Linked DNA regions of Elephas maximus indicus. The protein of the gene in region 2 interacts with the protein of the main gene of each other region in a pairwise test. Links are inferred from orthologs where the notes say so. Each region holds a gene or a part of one and is shown on either strand. Other genes may lie near its edges.

Region 1 (3,747 bases), on a different chromosome or scaffold from region 2:
TAGAGGCCTCCTGGCGCTAAATCTGAAGAACTCTGATCTAAGTTGCTTTATTTTGCATGGGTCAATTCTAGCAGTACCCATTAACCCACTGCCGTCAAGTGGATTCTAACCCTATAGGACAGAGTAGAACTGCCCCACAGAGACTCTAAGGATCACCTGTTGGATTCGAACTGCCGACCTTTTGGTCAGCAGCCATAGCACTTAACCATTACGCCACCAGGGTTTCCATCCAATTAAAGCAGTAGATGAATTCAATTCATAGCTTGCTGATTAGGAGGTGAGGGTGGGGGCAGCAAGCATAAATTCTATTTCTGCAGATGAAATCGATGAATGCTGAGCACAAACCCCTTTATCTCTAGAGTGACTAAGGTGGATGGGTACAACCACTGCCCTCCCTCAGCGCAAGGGCAGCAAGTACGAGCCAGCAGGGGCAGGATGGGGCAGTGTTAGGGCTGTCTTAGGGCCTTCTGCAGGATGCATAACCGTTACTTTCTTAGCCATCCTTAAGGCCTAATCTTGGGTAAGACACCGTTGAACCCATTCTTCAGCATCCTTCTCCAAATGCTCCTGGAAAATCACCCAGCTGGCACCCAGAAGCAGGTTTTCGGGTCCATTTTCTGCAGCAACACAATGCAAATCAGAGAGAGAGACCTCAATAGTTACTTCGTTATTGCAAGATAGCTATGAAGATTAACGCCTTGCTCTACCTGAAATAATTCTGATCATATTTAACACTTTCCCACTTATTGGGGCAAGCACTTTCCCAGTCAACAAGACTGTTAATCCCGAGGAAACGATCTGAGGGTTCTCCACGCATTTAGGCTTTTAACACCAAAGTTTTCACAACTTCTACCTGGGAAAGCTAAATGTCCCTGCATTGCAAAGAGCCTACTATTGGCAGAATCCCAGAGGGGCCAGCGACAAGAGAACCTTCCCTGCAGAGAGAAGTTTGGGGAAATGAATCCCTATACCCAGCCATCATTTCCACTCTTGCGTTTTCAAAAGATCAAAAAACGGAAAGGACCGGCAGACTGGCAAACCCCAACGAGGAACCGTCCAGCTGGTCTGCGTCCTTGGGATCTCAGACGACCCCAAATCAAGCTGATCGAGGGAAACCCCAAGGAAAGAAGGTTTTTTTTGCAGAGGGCCGGGATTACTGAGTGCTGGCTGCAGGGAAGTACCTGGGGGAGGGGGCTTGGTCGGGAGGACTTTCCAGCCACTCAGCGCTCATCAAAAAGTTCCCTGTACATGACCCTAGTGGCTCATCGCAGGGAGTTTCTCTGTTGAACCCCGGCACAGGGTTTAGGCTTCTTTTTCCCCCTAGCAGAGGACGAGGCCAGTTCTCATTTCTGGTCTGACTAGCTTGGAAATTCCCCGCTCTTGACCCCGCCCCGGAGAAATCCCGGGCCAGCGTTTATAGGGCGCCGCGGCGGCGCTGCCGAGCCCACAACAGTCCTAACCCGCCGACCTGCCCGCGAGCGACACTACAAGGAAGCGCGCAGCCCGCGGCCGAGCGCACCTGGGGAGCAACGTCTGAAGCTTTCACCGCGCCATGTTTCAGCCTGCCGAGCACCCCCAGGAGTGGGCCATGGACGGCCCTCGGGACGGGCTCAAGAAGGAGCGGCTGCTGGACGACCGCCACGACAGCGGCCTGGACTCCATGAAGGACGAGGAGTACGAGCAGATGGTGAAGGAACTGCGCGAGATCCGCCTGGAGCCGCAGGAGGCGCCGCGCGGAGCCGAGCCCTGGAAGCAGCAGCTTACGGAGGACGGAGACTCGTAAGTGTCGAGGGGCTAGGCGGCGGGGTGGGTGGGGGGACGCTGGACGCGCGGGGCCGCGGGGCGGGGGGGGGCGCCGGGCCTGCAGCCTGAGCCGCCAGCGCCCGCGGTGCAGCAGGGCCAGCGCACGGCCGTGAGCCCGGGATTATGCACAGTCCCTGAAACCTTGCAAGGCTGCACGTCTGCGCGTGCAGGGTACGGGGGATTCGGGCTCAGACCCTGGGGGCCGCGGTTCAGCAGCTCTGCTCTACAGCGGCAGTTCCACACACACCCCTAGCCGGGTCTGGGTCCTCCCGGCCGGGGGCGGGGCGGCGGTGAGGAGGCGAAGTCCCCAGTTGCATAAGGGGGGGCGGGAGTTTCTGTCCCGCTGGCGGGCGCCGCGCGGCCGGGAGGGGAAGTACAGGGCGTTCCGGCCTGGCGGGAGGGCGGGGCGGTCTGGCCGGCGCCCGCCGAGTAGGGAGGGGGGGCCCGGAAAGTCCCTGGGCGCCTGCCAGGAACACTCAGCTCATAATAACCTCGCGGAAAACACCGCGGCCTCGGCCTACAGAAACCCCGGCCTTGCGCAATCCCCCGCAGCCCGCGCCTCCCTGGGCCCCACGCAGTGCACTCACCACCCCTGGGGGTTTTTCCCTCTCTTCCCCTCAGGTTCCTGCACTTGGCCATCATCCATGAAGAGAAGGCACTGACGATGGAAGTGATCCGCCAAGTGAAGGGAGACCTAGCCTTCCTCAACTTCCAGAACAACCTGCAGCAGGTGCGCGGCTTGCCAGCCCTGTGCCCTTTCTGACCCTGTGGTGGAGCTGGATTAACAAAGTGGCTCTGGCACAGTTGCCCCCAAATCCTTTCTAAATTAAGTCATCAGTCATTATCTGCCCTAGCCTTTTACAGTTAAACCAATGAGCATCCAACAGGGTAAAGAAAACCCCATTGATTTGGTGAGGCTTTTATGGCCCACCTAGGGCCTCTGGTCTTTCCTCACCCCCTGGAGCAGTGCCCAAACCAGGAGATGTCTGGGGTCCAAGGGAGCCCAGATTGCACGTTTGGTTCATGGCTTATCCTCTTTCTGTTCTTTCTTCTGCTTGTAGACTCCACTTCACTTGGCTGTGATCACCAACCAGCCAGAAATTGCTCAGGTTCTTCTGGGAGCTGGCTGTGATCCTGAGCTCCGAGACTTTCGAGGAAATACCCCCCTACACCTTGCCTGTGAGCAGGGCTGCCTGGCCAGTGTAGGAGTTCTGACACAGACCCGTCCAACCCAGCACCTCCACTCCATCCTGCAGGCCACCAACTACAATGGTGAGTGGGCCACCCCGCCCCACCAGAGGGCAGGTGACGTGGAGCGGGGGAGGTGGGCAGACAACAACAGTTCACCCACTTAAGGAGCCCAGGCAAGAGCTTCAACTTCCAACATGGGAAAGGCTGAGAAAATATGTATGAAAAATTGCCTATATGATGCGTTTATAAATAAGGTTCATTCAGAACCCAGATTCAGAAGACATGCCTGTTTGTCCCTTAAAAGAATAGGTGAAAGACTCTACTTGAGGTGTAAGGATTGAAACAAGTGGTCATATTTTTTCTGTTTGTTCTTCTAGGTCACACATGTCTGCACTTGGCCTCTATCCATGGCTATCTGGCCATTGTGGAGCATTTGGTGTCCCTGGGTGCTGACGTCAATGCTCAGGTGAGTGCTTCATGCCTCCAGGTGGAGTGAACCAGCCACCAGCACCCTGAATAAGACTTGTTGCAAGCAGAAATCCAAACTCAGCCATAAGCATCTTGAATTCCTTTTGGTTTCAGGAGCCCTGTAACGGCCGGACCGCCCTCCACCTTGCAGTGGACCTGCAGAATCCTGACCTGGTGTCACTCTTACTGAAGTGTGGGGCTGATGTCAACAGAGTTACCTACCAGGGCTACTCTCCATACCAGCTCACCTGGGGCCGCCCAAGCACCCGGATACAGCAACAGCTG
Region 2 (3,747 bases):
CTCAAGATTATTGTAAATACATAGCTGGCTGGCCTGAAGTTGTATACATTAAGTGCAAAATGAGTAGAGATTTGGTTGTTCTTTTTTTTTTAGTTATGATCCCTGAAGCAGCCAAACCAGATAATCCAGTTTAAAAAAAAAAAAAAACTAATGGATCTGAATTATAAATCTCTCAATGAACATTTTAAATTCTGACTGTGCTAAGTTTATAGTGTACAGAGCAACATGGTGTTTAAGAGGTAATTCCTGACTCCAGGAATTTACAATCTAATAATTACCTGGTTTTACTACCAATGTGGCTCAAATTAAACAAATAAGTGCCAAAGGTACACTTCACTTTGCTTTGTAGATTTACTGTCTAAAAACATAAGAATCTATCCTACAGGAATGCTTGGGATGAAATAGTCTTAAACTTCCTGGAAGAAGTAAACCTCAGTCACACAGAACATTTTAGGGGGCGGTCACAGATAGCTCTTTCTCTTAATAGTGGGTCAGATCGAGAGTTCTGGAGCCAGGTCACCTGAGTTCGAATCCTACCAGTTTTTAGCTGTGTGACACTGGGTACATCACTCAGTGTCTCTGTGCCACAATTTTCACATTTGAAAATGAGTATGATAATAATGCCCACCTCATAGAGCCATTGGGACAATAACTGTATTGTCAAAGTAAACCTCTATTAATGTTATTCATCACTCCTCTCCCTATCGACAGAGGGGTTGGGTTTTTTTTTTTTCTCTCTCTCTTCCTGTGTGCCATCTCCTCCACTTAAAATGACAAAATTCTCTTCTGAAACAAAGTTTTCCATTACCATCTAGAGAGCAAACAGGCTTTATGAGAAAGGAAAAGTAGATTCCTCCAACTAATGGTTCATTTTAGAGTCAGCACAAGGTGAGAAGGCTGGACTCTCTCCCTTTCTTGCTGGCAAAAGAGTCCACGAGCTAATGAATGCTAAAAATTGTGTATTTGCACTGTTAATATTATTTTTTTAAACACTGGTAAAACTTGGTAAAGAGAGCAGGTTTTCTCCATGAAAGCCAGTAGCAGTTTTACATTACAAGCTGCCATGATGTTTTCTTTCCATAAGAATAAAGCTAACCAGGATGAGGTCACTGAATAAAAGTGACTTTAGGCTTCGTGCCTGCTGCTGTCACTTTCTAGACTGCAGCCTTTGAGGTTACTTTCAGCCATTCATACTTCCCAATAATAAATGTATGAACATAATTTCTCTGTTTTCTGCTTGCCAGTTTATATGAAATGAAGGCAGTCAGCAAGAGGGAGAGAAGGAGCAAAAATATCGCCCCAGGCCAAGCAATAACTGGTCTATAGGGTCACTATGAGTCGGAATTGACTCTATGGCACTGGGTTTAGTTTTTTTTTTTTCTGAGTAAGGAACTATGGAATAGGGGGTGAACCACGTCCAGAAGCAGAACTTTCTTGCCAGGTAGAAGGGTTTGTTTCTGGTTGCATTGTAAAGTCAAATCTTGAGGACTTCAGGATTACCCATCTTCTGATCTTCCCTTTGGGAAAGCTGACAACTGGTATCTGTTTCTTCACAGAGTTGTAACCTTTCCAAAGAGAACCACAACTCATGCACTACAATAAAGGCTTTGGACGTTGAGATTTACAGCTTTTGAACAAAAGATTTATCACTGAGTTAACCAGTGGCTATTAGCCAGAACCAAGTATTTACAAGCTGACATTAAGAAAGGATGGGCCCTTAGCTAGGTAATTCAGAAGGAAAGCCAAGTACCTGTAGCTCCCAGCTAGCACAACCTCAGAGGCCAGACAGGTAATGCCAATTGTCAATCCAAAAGCATAGATATCATGCCAAAATCTATTTTCATAACAGCACTTTTGTTTAAAAGTGATAGTACTTATGTCTATCCTAGAAATATTCATCAACCCAAGGAAAAATCACACCCAACTCATTGCTATCTACATCGGTACAGAGTAATTCTATCCCTGGAAACCACTTGTCTCAGTTAGATGGGGCTACTTAAAACAAAATGGATATGCTGAGCAAGTTGTAATTCTATTGCCAAGAATAAACACAAAAATAACAGTGCAAAACCCATGGGAAAATAATGCTACCGAAGTATTATCACATTCTATGAGCTCCAGTCACAGTAAAAGTGCCCATACCCGCCAGTCCATTCAAATGCCAATAAAAGAGTTTTCAAGAAGTGGCTAATATTCATTTGTTCCGGCATTCAACTTCACCTAAGAATGTCAAAATTCTCCATCATCAGCTACATAACCGTACCTGGGGCTTTTAATTTCAGCCACTCCAAGGATATATGGCAAACTGCTTCCCAGACGAAGCGCAATACGCTAAAGTAAAGCCTGAAAAGCTGTACCGACCCAGCAGTGGGATTCCTCCCTCATTCCTGCTCCCCAGGACAGGGGGAGCCCGGCCCGGGAAAGCAGGCGAGATCTGAGCCAATACCTCCTGCGCTTCCAGCTAGAGACCCTCTGAACACACCGCGGTAGATGGGTTCTCAGTGTTACTAACTCCTCACCAGGTCCTTTCCCTGGCAACTTTCAGAGAAGATGGGTCCTGGGTCTCAGAGATTAGGTGTCTGCCTGCTTGCATGTCAACCAAAGTGACTTAGACCCATCTCAACTCTCCCGGGTACAGAAAGGCTCCCTTCGGGGACGTGCCGCAGCGGAAGACAGGCAGGCAGACAGACACAGACAGACACCCACACTCGCAGGCACAGCCTAAGGCTTAATAGGAAATATCTCTTACCTTATATTTCATTTCGGCAGCGGTGAATGGAACCGTTTTCCTAAACTAGTACGACAGCATTAAGGACTGGAGTGTCTGTCCCTCCATTGAGTGTTAAATGAAAAGGAGAACGGTCGCTTGATGGTTTGCCCGCCCAAGCCCGCCGAGCCCTGCGCACAGCTAAGTTTCCAAAGCGTCTGAGCTCACTGTTTTGACCAGAGCAGGCGGATCACGGGCTCATTTGCATGCTGTCCGGCTATTGGCTCGCGCAGCAAGGTAATACTGTGCCCGCCCATGGCTTAGCTTCTGAAAACTCCTGACAAAGAACTTGTAATGTGGTAATTCCTTTTCACGTTTTGAAAAAGATTGGAAAATAAAACAGAAAGGGGAGAACCTTCCCAAACCTAACTATCCCTCCACCCCATCAAAAAAAGAAAAGAGAAAGACTGAAAGCAAAGCCAAGAAAAGGGAATAAATGCTTTTTAAGATTAACCTAAATTTTAAAGAAACTGCTTCACAAAACAGTCTGCCAGTCCCGCTTCCTGTGCCTTGGCAACTCTTTCATAAACCACTTCATTTCAAAGCCAGTCACCTCAAAATCTCTACATGAAACGAACTCTGGGAACAAAAGCTGTTCTGTCTCCAGGCCCCTTTTCACTAACCACCCCTGCTGATCTCTCTCTCTCTCTCTCTTTTTTTTCTTGGTGGCTGTTTGCTTTTTTTGTTCTTTTCACTGTTCAAAGTACTTCCAATGTCAATCTGTAACGAGTGGGAATACAATCTTCCCTCAGTGAAAAGCAGCTCACCAGCTTCCCTGGCTTGTTCTCACGAAGGCCTCCCCGAGTCCAGCGTCACACACGTTTGGTGACCTTCACTGGCTTGGCTTAGGATAAAGGTTCCATGTGACCTCTCCAATGGGGTTGGCCGGTGGACGCACTATACATCATCGGTGCCCACTGCAAGCTGCTTTCTTTGATGGCTTGGTTTTTCTAGCTCCAGCTTTGAACACGGCTGTTTTT

The links. The genes of interacting proteins can lie anywhere in the genome.
Region 1: the proteins of NEDD9 (region 2) and NFKBIA interact in binary tests that used the Homo sapiens proteins (3 or more experiments, as listed by UniProt). The two-hybrid records come from large-scale screens. The link is inferred for Elephas maximus indicus from reciprocal best matches to the Homo sapiens genes NEDD9 and NFKBIA.

Annotation. Positions count from the first base shown.
Region 1 is NC_064828.1:47,727,323-47,731,069, reverse strand, and holds the start of NFKBIA (NF-kappa-B inhibitor alpha), read left to right. Parts: upstream 1-1,427; 5' UTR 1,428-1,552; coding exon 1,553-1,779; intron 1,780-2,424; coding exon 2,425-2,533; intron 2,534-2,864; coding exon 2,865-3,075; intron 3,076-3,371; coding exon 3,372-3,460; intron 3,461-3,576; coding exon 3,577-3,747. UniProt on the Homo sapiens protein: Inhibits the activity of dimeric NF-kappa-B/REL complexes by trapping REL (RELA/p65 and NFKB1/p50) dimers in the cytoplasm by masking their nuclear localization signals.
Region 2 is NC_064819.1:54,872,369-54,876,115, forward strand, and holds the start of NEDD9 (enhancer of filamentation 1), read right to left. Parts: upstream 2,939-3,747; 5' UTR 2,762-2,938; coding exon of another isoform or gene 2,750-2,761; intron 1-2,749. UniProt on the Homo sapiens protein: Scaffolding protein which plays a central coordinating role for tyrosine-kinase-based signaling related to cell adhesion. As a focal adhesion protein, plays a role in embryonic fibroblast migration.